Coturnix japonica: one gene and its partner. The protein of the gene in region 1 interacts with the protein of each later gene in a biochemical or structural test. Links are inferred from orthologs where the notes say so. Each region holds a gene or a part of one and is shown on either strand. Other genes may lie near its edges. The genes, in order: DLG3 and CYSLTR2.

What was found.
Region 2: the proteins of DLG3 (region 1) and CYSLTR2 interact in a test that uses a peptide from one of them, tested with the Homo sapiens proteins (2 studies listed by IntAct, with this or other methods). The link is inferred for Coturnix japonica from reciprocal best matches to the Homo sapiens genes DLG3 and CYSLTR2.

Annotation. Positions count from the first base shown.
Region 1 is NC_029519.1:2,430,030-2,438,656, reverse strand, and holds part of DLG3 (disks large homolog 3), read left to right. Parts: intron 1-3,055; coding exon 3,056-3,232; intron 3,233-3,410; coding exon 3,411-3,486; intron 3,487-4,081; coding exon 4,082-4,181; intron 4,182-6,513; coding exon of another isoform or gene 6,514-6,559; intron 6,560-7,336; coding exon 7,337-7,378; intron 7,379-7,754; coding exon 7,755-7,805; intron 7,806-8,461; coding exon 8,462-8,563; intron 8,564-8,627. UniProt on the Homo sapiens protein: Required for learning most likely through its role in synaptic plasticity following NMDA receptor signaling.
Region 2 is NC_029516.1:151,142,165-151,151,330, forward strand, and holds the start of CYSLTR2 (cysteinyl leukotriene receptor 2), read left to right. Parts: upstream 1-4,468; 5' UTR 4,469-4,796; intron 4,797-4,911; 5' UTR 4,912-4,986; intron 4,987-9,166. UniProt on the Homo sapiens protein: Receptor for cysteinyl leukotrienes. The response is mediated via a G-protein that activates a phosphatidylinositol-calcium second messenger system.

The DNA of each region.
Region 1 (8,627 bases):
GGTGGCAGCTAATGAGCGATTGTAATTTGCTTATTAAAATCATCCTGCAACTCCTCACCTTGGGTTGCAGGTGGGGGTTGGCAGAAGCAAGGGATGCTTCTCTTTCCCTGCAGGGAGGAAGGTGGGAGCTGAGGCTGCATGTCTTGCAGCAGGGCTGTGCTGTGTAAGAGCGTTTGGGGGTTCAGGGTTCCTGTGCCCAGACGGACACGGGGCAGAGCTGTGTTATGTTCCCACAGCTCACAGTTTCACAAGGCTCTGCTGGATTTGCCATCTGCTGCCCCACTGACACCCGTGAGTGTGTGAGAGCTGCCCCAGCCCTTCTGGGCGGGGTGGTTTCGAGCACAAGTTGCCTGAAACCGGCTGAGCTGCTGCCTTGTGGACAGGACATCAATTATGGGACGTGCTAGCAAACTGCTCGAGTCAGCACCGCCAGGCCGTGGGGTGCACGGGGCAGTGGGGCCCAGTGCTCACAGTGCTCACAGCCCACCTGGGTAGGGCAGGCTCCCAGCACTCCTGCAGGGCAAAGTCCAGCAGGGGCTGGGACGGCTCAGTGCTGGCTCTGGAGCAGGCCTGGCACTGCTCCGCTGCTCTGCAGCCAGCTTGCTGCTCCTGCAGGGGATGGGGCTGAGTGGAGGAGGGCTGGGCCTCGCAGGGCTGCTGTTTGGCTCCAGCAGGCCGGCTTCTCATCCAGCAGCACTGAGTTCCCCGTGCAGGCACTGAGGGGAGCGGGGCCAGGCCTGGCCAGCAGGCACCCTGCAGCTGGGAGCCAACAGGCCGGGCCGTGGGGCTGAGGGTGCTGCTGGCTCTGGAACCTGCCCGGCCGGTTCTCTGCTCTTTCCTTCCTGTTAATTGCACTCTCCTCATTCCTAATGGCGCTGGTCTGGCTGGGGCGTGCCAGCCACGCACACGGCCTTATCTTTTGGCAGGGAGCAGAGGTGCCTGGCAGGGCTGCTTGCCTCCAGCTGAAGGGCCCCGCGGTGCTGCACTGCCGGCTGCCACGTGCTGTGCTCGGGGCCATGCGTGTTTCTGTTCTTGTGGGGCCGAGCACAGGAGCCTCCCAGCAATGGCCCCGAGTAAGCTGGAGAAAGCAGAGTGAGCTGTTGGCTGGGTGAACCTCGGGGCTGCATCAACATATCAGGCCTCAGCCCAGAGGGCTCCCCGTCCTTCTGGTCCAGGAGCTGCTTGTGTCACCGTGCTTAAAGAAGGATGTGACCCAAGAAGAGCACATCCAGCTCTCTGCTTAGTGCTCCATCGCTCATCCATGTCCCGGTTGAAGCCAAGACAGGGCTACTGCAGGAGCTGCTTCTATGCCTGAGCCCAGCCAGGCCCTTCATTTCAGCCCTGTGGCTGAGATCTGGCACCTGAGCTCACCGTCCTGGTGCAGGTGGGTGCTGGTGCCTGGGAGGCAGAAGGCGTGTGGTGATGCTGAGTCCTCGGGTGCTCACAGGGCACAGTTCCTGTGATCTGACAGTTCTCTCTGGTCTGGAAGATGAGCTGGTGCTTTGCAGCCTGCACACTGATACCGCTGCCAGAAATGAGGACCTGCAGGTAGATATTGGCTGCTTAGTCAAAAGCAGACCACTCTATAGCTGTTCCTGCAACAGTTCCACATGGGGTTATAATTTAGCCAGTCGGGACAAGCAGGATAAAACTGGAAGGAACTGGAAACAGCGGCAGCTTTCACAACAGTGCAAGATTTGGTGCTGCTCTTCTGCTTCCCAGGAGAGGGGAGCCCCAGCTTACCTGGAGCCACCGCAGGGAGGGAGACCTATGCTGACCCTCAGCTGCCGTGCTGGCTGGGGAGAAGGTTCTTATTAAATGTAGCAGAGAAGCAGTTTCTGATAGTCAGCGAGGCAGCTTGCTCTGCAGGTGGCTGGTGTGTGGTGTGCCTGTTGCTTTTACTATTTATGGAGCCACAGTTAAAAGGATTCAGCTCGACAATCAGTGTGACTTGTTCTGTGTTGTTCCAGACCCCCTCGGGGTTCCTCATAGTGGAAGGAGGTGATGAGCAGGGCAGAGGGTGGTGTTATTATGGCTTTCCCCTTCTTTTCTGCCTGGATGAGGCCGGCAGCTGGCTGAGAAGTGCTCACCGTGCCCCCACACTCTGCCTGGGGGGAGAGTGGGGCTGACCTTGTAGGAGTGAAAATGGGGCTCCCAGTTGTGCCACCAGTAACAGTGCTCTGAATGGCGGCTCAGCTGTTTCCATGCATTGCTGAAGGATGTGGAATGGAAAACAGGTCTGGTTTGAGATCTGACATTGGTAGGATGAGGCCCCTGAAAGCAGCTTGTGGCAAAGGGCTGCAGTGGAGGCGGGCGATAAGGCTCCAGTCGCTTGCACAGGAAGAGCATTAGTGCTTCTCTTCCTTAGTTTAAAAAATAATCATCTTTTCTGCAGCTGGGTAATTTAATATTGGAGATGAAGCTCTTGTACTATAACTAAATAAACTGTTCTTAGGGGAAGCATTTAAAAATCTGGAATAGTTGTAGAATCAGGTAAGCATTGAGTTGCACTCATAACTCACAGAGCTCTGGAATCAAATACCTCTACACGTAAATAAGAGTGAAGGCTGTGTGTGCCCTGCAGCCCATGGGCATGACTTCCTCCAGCAGCAGGGCACAGTCAGCTCCTGGCCATCTCACACCCTTGTTGCTCATGGCACAGGGCAAGCTCTCCATTCCCTGCTGCAGGGCATTCTGTTGGCCTGCAGCTTTGCTCATGAAGGGTGCTGGGTCTCGCCCTCTGAACAGATCAGCCGGGTTTTCCCTCTTGTGCTGCTTTCCTGATTGGCAGCGGGGTACCATTTACAACCTGTTATATTTTTTTGAGGCTGCTGAACCTGTTATATATTCTTGTTTGGCTGCTTTCTGACCACAGCCTTCTTGAGCATCTGTGTGGTTTGTGTGCTTCTTGCAGTTCATGTCAAGAGCTAGTTTGTTGGCTGTCGTTTCTGTGGGGGGTTCATGGTGAGCACTTCATCCACAGCCTAATGAGGTCTGCAGTGCTGCTGCTTCCTTGGCAGGGGAGGGCTTCACTCCTCTCTGTGCTCCTTTGCAGAGCTCTGTTTGACTATGACCGGACCCGGGACAGCTGCTTACCCAGCCAGGGGCTCAGCTTCTCCTATGGGGACATTCTGCATGTCATCAATGCCTCCGATGATGAGTGGTGGCAAGCCAGGCTTGTGACACCTCACGGTGAGAGCGAGCAGATCGGAGTCATCCCCAGCAAGAAGAGGTGAGTGCCCATCAGCAGGAGCTGACTTGCATGGTGCTTTGGTCCTGTGAGCCTCGGGACCCAGCTTCTGGATCTGCACCGTGTGGCAGATCTGGTGGTATCAGCATGAGGAATACGTGCAGCATTATGGGCATCCCAGGGACTAGCAGTATCTCTCTCCCTTTTAACTTCCAATCAGGGTGGAGAAGAAAGAGAGAGCACGATTGAAAACGGTGAAGTTCCACGCCAGGACTGGCATGATAGAGTCCAACCGGGTGAGTGCTAAGCAGGCATAATGAGCCAGTGTGCTGTAGTGGGGCAGGGTGAGTCTGGGCAGCTCAGTGCTCCCATTGAGAGCAGCCAGAGCTGTCCCAGAGCAAGGAGCAGTGCAACGGACTGTCTGAGGCACAGCTCCCCTCAGCTGTGTGCAGGGTGGGAGCAGAGGGGCTGAGGCAGCTGTGAAGGTGCTGATGACAGACAGTGGTTTGGTAGCGGGGTGTCTTTATGGTGGCAAGGGAGCAGAGCATGTCCCAGCACAGCCCCGGCAGAGCACACTGGTGGCTGGGAGCTGAGTGCAGGTGCCTGATGCTGGCAGAGCTTCCCTTGCATGGAGTGAATGGATGAGGCAGTGAGAACAGCCGTGCTCCTCCTGCAGAGGCTCATCAGCTTCCCAACATCCCTAAAAACACATTTTTCTCCGCATTCAATTATTTTTTTCCTGCATTACAGTTTTCATGTAATCCCCATGATTTCATTCCAGGGTAACCGCCCTTCCACAGCTCCTCATCGTCTCTCCATTTTAATTTTCCTTGCATGCGTTAAACGCCATTGTTTTTTCTGTCCTCCCCTCCATCTCCATCTTCTTCACAGTCGATCAAAACGAAACGTAAAAAGAGTTTCCGCCTCTCTCGAAAGTTTCCATTTTACAAGAGCAAAGAGAACCTGGCCCAGGAGAGCGGCGGACAGGAACGTAAGTAGCAGCTGGCCAGAGAGGGCAACGTGCAACCCCCCAACCCCCACCTCCTGCCTTGAGGAGGGGAGATGTGCCACGTTCCCATAGCCAGCAAGCACAGTGCCTGCCTGTGTTGGCCAAACTGTGCTGCTGCTGCCAGGCAGGCTGAGGCCATGCACGTGCCCTACTGCACTGGAGCCTTCCCAGCCACCGTCAGGCATGGATGTGGCCCAGGGCTCGTTCAGGTTCTGTGCCCATCAGCCCTACCTGCAGCTAGGGAGCAGCCTGAGCCTGAAATCAGAGCGGTAGCTCCTGTAGCACTCGGGGTGGATGCCAACCGAGTGAGGGACCTCCCGGCTGCATTTCTTGTCCCTGTGCACCTGCTGAAGTCCCAGGCATGAACGCCCTGCACAGGCAGGCTCACTCAGCTGCTGCAAGCCCAGCTGCCTCTGGCTGTGTCTCTGCACGGGCTGGCTCTCTTTCTCGTGTTTGGTGTCTTCATCCTTTCATAACTTTATACTTGCCTACACTCCTGCTCTGCCTCTTCCTGCTCTCTCCCATGTGCTGTGAGCTCTGCTCCCTCCCTGTGCCTGCCAAGGGCTGCTCCCCCTCCCAGAGCAAGAGGTGGCTGAGCAGTGCAGGAGCTTGGCCCTTGTCCTCAGGCTGAGGGGGACATCTTGGCTGTGCTCACTGTCTCCCATAGAAGTGACTCTCTGCTACCTATTCCTGACAGTCTCCAAGCCTTTCCTGTAAGTGAAACCCTGTGGCTGTGAGGGAGGTGTGCTCTCGCTGGCAGAAGCACTGCCCACACTCAGCAGCTGAGACACATCCTGGCTTCTTGGCTGCAGATTGTGGGGAATACCCAGCTCTCACCCAGGGCTCCCAGTGAGGGCTGGTTGTGCTGCAGCTCCCCTCTCCTTGGCAGGCAGGGCTGTGCACAGACACATCCTGTGTGTAGAAAAGGATGAGAGAAAGGGGTAGGGGTGTAACCTTGAGACACCTCCAGGTTTGAGAGCTGTGCTGAGTGTTCAGCTCCTCGCTTCAAATCCTGACATCAGGAATGCTGGTGCCTGCAGTAGGGAAAACTGAGGGTCAGCTGCACAACTCCTCTGGAGCAAACTCACTTCTTGAAAGTGTTTTCCCTGTGCAAGGATGGAACAGCCTGCCCTTGCTGGGTTAGGTGAGCAGCTGTGCTCAGCCTCTCCTCTTTCCAGGTGCTAAATTGCATCCACTCCTCCACTGAGTGTTCACAGAGAAGGCTGCAGGTGTTGTGTTTTTGGAAAGAGGAGAGCAAGTGGGCAAGGCGGAGCTGTGTCCCTGCCCAGATGCCAACACATTGAGTGCTCCCCTCCAGCACCCTCCTGGGTTTGGCAGGGGGCAGCTGGAACCAGGCTGCCATGGGGCAGTGCCCACTTCATTCAGCCAGGCTGCATGGAGGTCTCAGTGACAGCAGTCAGCATGATGGCTGTGATGGTGTGTGAAGTCTGTGTGTCCAGGTTCCTGCAGGGCATGTGGCTGGGCATGCTGGAAAGCCTCTGATGGAACAGGACTTGGCCATTGGAAGCTTTTCCTGTCCTGGCTACCCTTGTTTTGTTGTAGGGTGTGGGCGCCCTGCTCTGTGTGCAGGGCATGGCCATAGCTGGTAGCTGTGGGAAGCAGTGAGGATGTGACCTGTGTTGGAGGTGGTGTAGCAGCAGGGAATGGGATGGCATGAGGGTGCTAATGGAGCACAGATCAGCTCAGTGCCTGCAGCTGAAGGTCACTGAGGCACTGCTCTTGGCCTGCCCTGCAGTATGGGACATATGGCACAGGCACAGGGCAGGCTGTGCTCTTTGCCAGCAGCATCAGAGCAGCCTGCAGGCAGCTCCCTTGCCATGCTCTGCTGCACTGCCCATCCTGGTGCCCTGCTTGCAGCAGGGGGATGTGGGCAGCTCATGCACACAGGTGGGGAGAAGCATCCCCCAGCCATGCTGTTAGAGGTGTGGCAGTGCTCGTTTCCCCTCCAGAGGGGCTTAGGGGAGAGCAGAGTTGCACACTGCGAAAGACCAATTGAGGCTGTATGGAGAAACGCTTTGGGGCTGTGGCAGAGCTTCAGGGGGACCCACAGTGGCCTCCAGGCGCAGCCAGAGTGCTGTGAGGGTCTGCTGGGCGTCAGCAGCTCTTGGTGAGATATCGGTGTCACCGCCGGGAAACGTTTCTTAACATCACTTGCAGTTACAGCTCTGGGCAGTTCTGCACTCCTGTCACTAATGCTCATCTGGCTCTGTCTTCTTCTCCCCTCCTCTCTGACCTCCCCTCTCCTGCGCTCTTTTCTCTCCCTTCTCCCCCTTCTCGCTGTCTGTGAAATCAGGACTTCCCTGGGTTAAGTGACGATTATTATGGAGCAAAGAACCTGAGTAAGTGGAATTGCAACACGCATCGTTCACTTTCCATCGCCAACACACGTTGGGGGTGCCTGGTGGCTGTGCTTCTCTGGGTGTGGGGCATGAGGAACCCCATGGGTTTGATTGCCTCTCCCAGCAGAGGGCTCTGAAGGTGCTACACTGGGGAGGGGATGGGCAGTTTGCTTGGGGGATTTGGCTGTACCCTAAGCGCACACAAGGGCCTGCCCACGGCACCCTCGGGAGCAGGTGAAGGTGTCGTGCCACCTTCCTTTGATGGTGTATGATTGCCCACGTGCCCAGAGCTGCTTGGCTGCACACCCCAAACCCTGCAGAGCTGTTCTGAGTAAGGCAGGCAGCGGCCAGCCTCTGTGGGGAGGTCACAGCACTGGGATCAGCCAAAGCAAAGCAAAGCCCCGAACTCTGTCCCATCCTGTCACTGTCTCGTCTCTGTGAGTCCCAGCCCGTCCCTGCAGGCAGCTCCCCACCCCTGCCCTCCGTGTGCATGCTGCACCCTGCCAGCCCTGCCCGCAGCCCCGCTCCCAGCACCTCCCCCATCTCAGCATAGCCAAGCAGAAGAGGTTCCCCCACACATACCCTATTCCCCCTGAGCGTGACAAAGGGCAAGAGTTCTGCCCCAGCACCCCACTCCCAGCCCTCCCCATGGGTGCCAGGGTGCCTTTCTGGTGGTGCCACCTGGCTGCCCTGCTCTCAGTTGCCAGCACTGGGTGCCAGCTTGCGTGCCCTTGGCAAGCGCTGGCTCTGAAGATGGTCTCTCTGGTTGCTTTGCAGAGGGCGTGACATCAAACACCAGTGACAGCGAGAGCAGTTCCAGTAAGTGTGCGTCTCTCCTGCTGTCTCACCTCTGTGTGTGTGTGTGTGCACTCCCATCATGTCCTGTCCCAGTGTTGTTTCTATTCGGAGGCTGTTCCTTCCTGCTGGTGGTACTGAGATGCTGGGCCAGCTGCCATCATGGGTTATGGGGTGCAAGACAACTTGGGTCTGGCCGCAGCCAGTGCTCCCGTTACCCCCAGTGCTCCTCTACATGCCTGCAGTGCACCCACAGCTGTGCCCACTCATATCCAGGCCTGCAGTAGAGGAGGAGGAGGCTGATATGGCTGGGTGTGAGAGCCTGTCCTCAGTGCAAGGGGTGGCTGGGGCTGGGAGGCTGCTGCCAACGCTCACCCGTCTCTCCTTGGCTCTGTTTCAGAAGGACAAGAGGACACTATCCTGTCATACGAGCCAGTGATACGGCAAGAAAGTAAGTCCTTGTGCTGGGTTGTGGGCATCAAACCCCCTCCCCCAGTCACAGCTGTGCTGTGCATGACTAGCTGGGGTGATCTTCAGCTCAGCAGAGCTGGGTTTGGCCCCTGCTGAGGATGGGTTTGGAAAAGGTTTTGCACCAGAAGGCAGTAGGACTGGAACAGGCTGCCCAGGACGGTGTAACAGCCCTGAGTGCTGGAGTTCAGGGGGTGTTCAGGTAATGCTTTCAGTCACAAGGTTTGGGTTTGGAGTGTGGAGGCAGGAGCTGGATTGGTGATCCCTGTGAGTCCCTTCCAATGTGGGATATCCAGGGGTTCTGATCTGAGCAGTACCCCCTTAGCAGTCCGTCCTTGCCAGCATCTGGATCAGTCTCTTAGGGCCCACAGCCTGCATGTCCACATGTCCTGGCTGTCAGCTCTGTGCCTCGAGCAGCAGAGCAGCTTTGCTGATCTTTGACCTATGAGACTGTGGCACCTTCCCTGGAGCAGATCCTGCACCTGGCCCAGCTGCACGCTGCCAGAGGGGATGGAGATGCTGCATTCCAGCTGCCTGTACACATCGCCTGGGTTGCATGTGGATGATATTGAACGCAACCTGGAGATGAACTTCCACAGAGCTTCCAGGGTTGGTCTGAGCTGTGGCTTTTGTTTGCAGTTCACTACGCCAGGCCTGTGATCATCCTGGGGCCCACAAAGGACCGAATTAATGATGACCTCATCTCTGAATTTCCACACAAGTTTGGTTCCTGCGTGCCACGTGAGTCCCCGCAGAGGGCAGAGCCATGTGGGTTCAGGTGGGTCGCACCGGCTCCACTCCTGAT
Region 2 (9,166 bases), on another chromosome or scaffold:
TAGCAGGGGGGTTGAAATTGGGTGATCATGGTGGTCCTTTTCAACCCAGGCCTTTCTATGATTCTATGGCTTAAGATATAAAGACCAAAGATGGCATTAGTTGGCTCAGTGTGAGCAGCTTCCTAGAGCATGGTACGGTGCGATATGTGAGTGACCTCTGTCCTATGAGGGAAGAGGAACCTGGTGCTGCAGTGCTTTCCCCCTTCTTCTCCCATCCTTGCCACCGCCACCTCCAGCTGGCTCAGTCAGTCCTGTTCAATGTATGCCAGTGAAAAGGATTTCACTAAGCATGTTATATGTGGCAGAGATGATTAATTCTCATTTTTACATGGGGGTACACTGTTTGCAAACTTTTTGCAAAAGAAATACATAATCTAAACAGTTTATGAAGCTGGAAATTTCATTTGTTGAAGCGGATATTTTTAACACCCAGTGGTCAAATGCTTAGATGCCTTCCTAAAATTCTGAATAAATACTGTGACTAAAGGTCATAGTATTCTCTCCTTCAAAGGCACACATATATTCTACCTTTATCTGGTATTTTAAAATACAACTTAGAGAGTCTCCAACAGAGAAGGGGCATGAGGATGAAGCAAGGGCTGGACCACATCCCCTATGGAGGCTGAAGGAGCTGGGCTAGTTTATCCTGGAAAAGAGAAGGCTGTGGGGAGACTTCACTGCAGCCTTCCAGTGATTGAATGGAGTTTATGAACAAGAGGGAAATCAACTCTTTACGTGGGTAGATAGTGATAGGACAAGGAGGAATGACTTTAAACTAAAGAAAGAGAGATTTAGATTAGATGTTTAGGGGAAGTTCTTTACTGAGAGAATGGTGAGCTGCTGGCTCATGTTCAATTTGGTGTCCAGTAGGACCTGCATGTCTTTCTCAGCCAAGCTGCTTCCCAGTTGGGTTATTCCCCACCAAGGGTAAGTCTTTGCACTTCCTATTGTTATACCTCCTGAGGTTAAGTTAGCAAGGACTCCCTTGATGTGAAAGTGTATTTGGTGTTGTCTGGTGTTTACGTGGAAAGACTTGCAGGCTGTATTTAACAGCGGCATTTAACCACCAAATGTAAGACATGGAATACCTAAACCTGATCATTCTGACTTTGCAACCCTTACGATATTTATTTGTCCATCTGTTGTGTCATGGTTACTGTAAAACAGACAGTAGAAAGGCATTAAACAATGTTTATTATGCTTCTGGTTTCTATATTTATGTGAAGAAAGATTTCAGCAGAATAGCACAGCGTTAACTACAAGATAAACACAGTCCATAGCAGAGCTTTCTGAGTAGGGAACTTAGGATGTCTATTCTATATAAAAACAACATTAGATGTCTCTTGTCATTCCATTTAAATATTAACATTCATCATCAATATAATAAAGAGGAACACAAAACAGTTAAGAAAAGACTACAGGTGATAAAAAAAAAAATGTCATGACTAATGTTGCAAAAAGAAACAGCTTGAAAACCTGCTGTGTTTTTCCATTCTGAATATTTCCTGTTAAAACTGCCAATAGTCCTTCACCTTTCTTCATGCAGCTGTCACATTCATCTGCCCATCTATCCAGCCTTATGGCTGACAGCAGATGAGCTGCTATCATTCAATGACATTTTATTCCTGGATTGAACAGAAAATGAACATAGGCTTTGCAATTTTAGTCTCTGGAAATAGATATGTGTTAGTAGGCTAAGCTGCTGTGCTGAAGAAGCGCAGCACTAAAATCTTCAATGGTGGTATTTTCTTGAAGGATCCATTTTAACAGAAAAGTCCCTTGATTTACAGAAGTGAAACTCTGTTTGTGTCTGTAGATAGCAAAATATTGACCAAGCAACAGGAAAAATATGCAGACTTCTTCATTTGACTTGCCTTCATCATTTGATAGCTGCCCTGATGCAGCAGGTTGCCCCATCTCCCATGTACCATTCCCACGGCCGTGGTGCTGATTTACAAATGTCTCTTTGTTCCATAGGCACTGGCTGATGAATTTGCATGGGTCTGTCAAGCTATGCGTTGTGTCAGAGACCCAGCCTTGCCCAGGTATATGTAAGGCAGCCCCTTTTGCTGCAGTGCAGAGCAGACAGAACCTGTCCAGAGACTTCAGGGACAGAGAAATGGACCAGGTAGCGGACCATCATAAAATCTACGTGACTGTAGGGGGCCTGCAATGGTTGTTTTTCTTGCCACTGTGGGCTGAATAGAGCAAACCCATCATTCATGGGCAATGCTCCTGCACAGGGCTGGAGAGAAAGTAGGTCTATGGGGAAGGAGAATTAAAAAGAATGAGTCAGTCTCTCGTGAAACTGGGCTGTTGTTGGGAACCAGAAATGCAAAAGGGAAGAGAAACAGAGACAAGAATGCATGTAAATGCAGACCAGATGGATGGCTTGCATTCTGTTGTGCCCTGGATCCTCTGTGAGTTTACCAGGCGTCAAGATGCAGAAATAACTGGAGTTGTGAGCTGTTGAGTATGATGTGCATATGTCATCTTGTAATGAGACTTTGATTCCTTGTGACATTCTGCCATGACTTCTCCAGAATTGCTGAAGTTTTTATTAGTAAGGAAATATAATAAATTCCCCTCAGAAGCTGAGTCATCCAATGACTATACAAAACATCTCAAGCAGTCACCCAAAATCCAGTTTTTCTGGTGCAGCGAGAGTTGGTAGCCAATTCCATCTATCCAAACCCAGGCTAAAAGCAAAACACAGCATTCCTTTACAAAAGAGAGGAAGCAGTACACTCCAGAAAACAGGGTGTATAAGGATGTGAATGTGAGAAATTATCCTGGCAGTGAAGATACCTTGAGTATATGGGAACAGCCTGCCTATCAGACTCAGTGTTTATCAGCACGGGCCATGTGATAGAGATGCTATTTGACTGTCTCTGTGCTGTCTCTGTTACTTGCTGATAAGATGCAGATAAGATTGGATGGGGCCCTCAGCAGCCTGATCTAATGGGTGGCAGCCCTGCCCACAGCAGGGGGGTTGCAACTAGATGAACTTTTAGATCCCTTCCAACCCTAAGTTGTTATATAATTCTATGGTTGTATGATCAGATACCATCTCAGCGGGTGGAGCATCTCAGAAGCCACAGCCCTCCTCTGGCCATGACTTTGATGTCTGAAGTGGTAGTTCCCATGCTGCTCCTTGTTGCGCACCACTGCTTCCTCCCAAAAGGCTCTGACACTGAAAGCTGTCCTTCAAGCCACTTGTGGGATCATTTCCTACTCTGCTTCAATCCAAAGGGAATGAGCTGAGACCTCCTGTTTCAGGTGTCTGGGGTGAATATCTCCAAGGCTAAATAGGGTTTGAGAGCACACATTTGAGCAACTTTGCTGGCAGACTTTGGACTGGGACAGTAAGCAAAGCAACTGGAAGAGGACAACTATGCAAGGCCCTCAGTGCAACGAGAGCAGGCAAGGTCTGAAGTTACTAGTCTAGTTCCTTTATAAGCTGGTTTTCCATGTCCTCCTTCAGGTCTATGCTTTAAAAAGCTTATAGCACTGCTTACAAGCTGTATGTACCTCCTCCCTGGTGCAGGGATCTGTGAGCTCTGGTGACACTCACCTACACAGCCACTGCCTGCTGCAACTCCAGCCCCACATGGGGAGCAATAGGGCTATTACACCTCTTTGGTAGTCCATGTATACAGCTAAAGTGAAGAGCACTAGCAATAAATGACAGTGAAGTGCAGGTGGCCAACAGAGGGGAGATTACAAACAGGATTGTCCAAAGCAATTTGGGATGTAAACGACTGTAAGTGTAGGTGGTGAGGTTTGCTGGGAGACTCTCCAGCTACTGAACTGTAGTACATAGCAGGATTCCTGACCTACTGCCAGCTATCACAGCACAGCTGAGGCTGGCAGGGCCCTCTGGGTCCCTCTGCTCCAGCCCCTGCCCCAGCAGGGACACCCAGAGCAGGGTGCCTAGGGCTGCATTCACGCAGATCTGGAAGATCCCCAAGGAGGAGATCCCACATCACTGGGCAGCCTGTGCCAGTGCTCTGTCACTGCACAGCACAGAGGTATTTCCTGATGTTTATGAAATGAAACACAGCACCTAGAGATACATCTGGTCCTCCCGTGTGTGTTGACAGAACAGAAGAATAAACAGTTACATCTGCCGTGTGTATAGAACCCTATTTCACAACTGCAGTAAACTAGGAGCACTCATCTGTGCCATCTGTGTTTGGATGTGGTGCTCAGGGACATGATTTAGTGGAGGGTTGTTAGAGTTAGGGTAGTATGGTCAGGTTGTGTTTGGACTTGATGATCTTAAGGTCTCTTCCAACCTGAGCAATTCTATGATTCTATGATCCTGTGATCACTGTTGCAGTAAGGCGTTCACTGCAGCTTCTTGTTATGGCCTAAAATAGCAACGTATTTACTCCCTATCAGCGGTCAAAAAAAAAAAAAGCAGTCCCTTGGCTCCACAAACTCATCCTTGAATTGCTTGTGCTGAATATGGTTACTCATTAACCCCTAGAAGCATGCTTATGGTTTCACTCATTTCTGCACGAGAAGCCTGGGAAATAATGCTTCGTAATTCCACAGACTCCAATTACAGTGATCCATGTGAATGACATACGGGAACCTATCCTAAGAAATCAAGCAATGCCAGTTACTGAGAGTGCAGATATTTAAGTGCGGCCCAAACACAGGAATCCAGACAGTTTCCAGATGCTACATTAGCTGCAGGGCCCTTTTTGTTGGGCCAAAGCGCATGCGACACTGCCGTGCGATTGCTAGCAGCCCTCCTTGAGCTGAGAACATTTCTCTCTTAAGAAAACGTAAGATCTACTAATCAGGACCTACTTCCTTTTCTTACTACTGTTTGCTCTTGTGTGGCTTCTGCGTAAACAGCATTCGGGTTTTGCTTCAAGTTTTTGTGCTTCTGATTTCCAGCAACAAAACTGAAAGTGGTAAGCAACAGTGGGCAGAAGAAGGAGACCGAGCACACCAGAAGGCACACCAGCTGAGGTAAGACAAGGCTTGCCTGCTTTTTCTGACATAGATAGAATAGCTGCAGTGAAGAAAATACAATCTGCTTATATATTGCTTGCGGTAAGCTTTGCATATGATAGAAGCTGTGATCGTTAACTAAATTTCTCTATGACAAAGTTGGGCTTGAGAATTTTCTTTGGCAGAAAGGGTGGATTTATGTAACTTGCAGTGCTTCCAGATGGAAGATGACAGTCAAGTAGTGGGTCTGATTAAGTGAGTGCTGGCTTTTAACGAGATGACAAAAATATGTGGTCAATGGCAAACTTAAAATTAAAGAGGCTAGGAGTTAGAGTCTGAATTTATTTATCTGTAATATTGTGCATGCAGCGAGGTTAATAAAGCACTGCATGTTTTGGTGGATGTAATTCACTGTTAATTCCAAATACTGCATTCTGCTACATTTATTCTTGGTAACGCTACTCCTTAAAACACAACACGAAGACAGCAGAAGGAAAGCTAATGGGAACTTTGAGACATGTCAAAACTTTTGGTTTTCTCGAGATACAGAGGCAGATGCAAGCAATCCCAAACATAGCAGCAATGCCATGACTGCCTTAATATTATGAGTATGGGATTGTTGTGGCAGAAGCCTTCTTCTGACAGAGGACTGTTGTGATAGATGCACGGAGCACCTCCTTTTCCTGACATACAAACGGATCAATATATTTAATCTCTTAGGGCAAAAAAGACATGTATTTTGAATGAACATTCTGATACCTTTATTTATCACTGCATGTGCAGAACACCTCACCGAAAATATGTTCTCTGTGTTATAGAGATCTCAGGGTTTCAAAGTAGCGGATGTGAGAAACTTCTCAGTCTGGAAATGGAGAGTTTCCCTTTTACACTTTTAGCAGCAGCCTCTTCCAGCTCACCTCCCCCAGTGAGAGGAGATGACACAGAAAACAGCCCTCTTCTATCTGCCTGACCATAGACTCCCAACAGCCCTGATGAGCACCCCATGTGGGAACACATCAGTAGTGGTACATTCACACTATCCACCTCCTTCAGGAACCTGTAAAGCTTGACTGCATGTCTATCCTGTCTATGCTGAATTTACCCATACTTTTGAGTCCTTGCTCCGTCACCTTGCTGATTTCACTCACCCCTCTCTGCCTCTTCCCTAACTCTATAATGTCTTTTTTTGGGGGGTGCAGAGAGCAGAACTGCATGGCACATTCACTGGGGGAATGCAGGAAGGTTTTATACAAGGTGATTTTATACCAGCTGACCCAGACTTCTTGGTGATGTGACTCATTTTCTTGAAATTCTTGTTGCTTCCGCTGCAGCTTATGCAGAAATGACTTTGGCAAACAGTCGATGATGGGTCTATCACTGATGCCAAATGCCCTTTCCTCACAGTAACAGTTTCAAGTTCTGTATCATGTAAGCATGGTTTAGGTTATTTGCTCCAGCATTTATCACCTTCTACTAAAATGCTCATCTGCCAGCTTTCCAGCATGGCATCAATGAATGTCAGTGGGTGTAATTTTTTCCTCATGGAAGAGCTCTGTGACACTCCTTTGCTTCAAACACACGTCCTTGTCAGACACCATTTTGTCAGATTGTCCCTCTGATGCCATCTGCCAACAAAATGTAACAGGATGTTGTTGGGTAGGTTCCACATCTACTGCCATACCATTGCCTTCTGACTCTAATGTCATGGGCCAAAACAGTAAAACAGGAGGCATTACTTTTGGAGCAGCTCTCATATATATGGAAATCGGTCTTGGGGGTCAGTAGGCTCCCAGGCATCAGGACTGCTGACTCACAGCCCCCAGGCTTCTCTCCCACGCTGTTCTTGTAGATGAAGAGCTGCCCTAGTGATGCAGTGGTCCCCTGGAATGGCACATGATTATAATGGTGGGTTATGTGCCTTGGACAGCAGTCCAAGTCTGAGAGCCTTTGGGGTACTCATACAAATGTCATCTGGTCCTGATTACTTATTGGCCTCTCATCTGTCTATTCAGTTTGATATTTCCTACACATGTATGTCCAGTGCATCCAGCTCCTCCAACCTTACAGAAGTTTTGTTGAATCCTCTGTGATTTGGTTGTTGCTGTTGTGTGGTTTTGGTTTTGTGTGGTTTCTTTTGATTGTTTGTTTGTTGTTTTTACTGTTTTCCTATTCCCTCTAAAATGATGTCGATTTCTTGGTCCTGGGACTGCTCCTCTCTCCCACAACACTGACACTGTGAGTCCTATCATGATTGCTGGTACAGTGCTCCCTCCCTCCCTCCTGCCAGAACTGGGGCCTGTGCAGCACTAAAGATCAAAAAGCATCATGTCTTGCAGACTGTAGAACCATTTGTCCTAGGAATTAGGCATTTGTTGCATATCTTGTTCTGAACTTGAAATTCCCTACCATTACTACCTGCTTTCAGCTTTTCTAACATTTTCCTATGACTATCATTATCATGGTGAGGAGTTTGGTAGCATAACCTTAGTACTAAATTTTTTCATTATGAGAAGATGGAATGACTGTCCACAAGGACTTTCAGTCATAATATTTGTATGCAATTGCTAGTTACACAGTCCTTCCTGCACAGTGCCACTCCTTCACCTGTATATCCTACACTATCACTACTATCAAGCCAGCAGCATGGCACAGAGGCTCCCACTGATATACTTTACACAGCAGTTATTTCAGGAAAGCCACCCTTTCCTTTGCTCTGCAGATGTGCTCTCTCTCTTGCCCTAATAGCAACGCACCATCAAAAGTCTCTTCTCTTTGAAGTACATCAATCTGTGATGACTCCCTGTAAAACAGGGGGGCCAACTTCCATTAGAAGAAGAGATGTTTCCTGATCCCACACAGAAAACTTTGATGTCAGACAGTAACTTTGTACTGGGTACTAAAACTAGGTTGGATTGAGCCTTGAGAAGAGCCTGACCTGGTGGGTGGCAACCCTGCCCATGGCAAGGGGCTTGCAATTAGGTGATTTATTAGGTCCCTTCCAAGCCAAGCCATTTGTGATTCTATGATTCTATGAGATCTCCTTGGACTGCAATTGTTTTGTTGGGAAGCTTACGTTGCCTATCCTCTACACTGGCGAAGAGACTTTCAAATAAGGAGGAGATTTTCTTTAGGGGGGAACGAGTGTTCAGTTTGCCAAGTTCCAGTCTTCAGCACTCCTACACTTTATAGACATTATTGTCCTTGTTTCTTGGAGGGATGGTTTCAAGCCCTGCAGGGATGGTCACATTATTGTTGTTAGTGAAAGCCCCTGTTCCCCAAGCCCAAACTGCCGCATTCCCATCCTGCTACAGGGGATAAGCTCTGCTTCTTAGGAGCCCAGCCTGGGCAGGCTCCATTTCCCATGCTCTGTTTGGCCACAAAAAATAACTTCTGGGGCACATCTGGTTGCTGTATTAAGGGATCTGTACTCCGACACAGAGCCCTGAAGAGGTCACTGGCTGCCCTCAACATAGAGCAGCTCTTGTACCACAGAAAAGTATCTGAGTGCACAAATTAATTTCCATTTACAGCAGTGTTGCCAGTGCTATAGTGTGTAAGTGGTAGTCCAAGGTGCCCAAGCTTTCCCCGTAGTGAAATTCCAAGAACACAAATAACTTTATTCAAAATTATGAAGCCTGTGAGGTCCAAAAAAAAAGACATAACCTGCAAGCATATACCACTAGGCCCTTATCTTTCTCACTGGGATGTATTAAAACTTTTTTCATGCACTTGGAAATTTCATATTGTTCTGCTTTTTAGGCTAAATTTTTTCAGTGCGTTTCTGGGATGTGCTGGCAGTTGCAGAGAGGGCATTTCTGTCCCATTGTTAAACAAGTAGCAGAACCAGAGACCTCCCTTTAGGAGTTGGACTTGATTACATTTACAGATCCCTTCAATTTCAGGGTATTCTATAATTCTATGATTTTAAAATACTACTACTTACAGATCATCAGAGAGAAAAAAATCAGGAGTTTAGCAAGTACATTAAAAAGAAAAAAAAAATGTGTATACTATTTAGAGTGTTTTATTGACCGGTTGTTTTGATTTGATTGAAATATAGCCTTGTGGGAGTGAAAATATCACTTTCTATGGAAATAGCCTGTTTTCCACAGGCCATTTTTATTAGGGCTGCTAATTCAGGCTGCCATATAGATGAATGTCTGATGAAAGAAATGAGCACACAAAAGGCTGGAAAAGT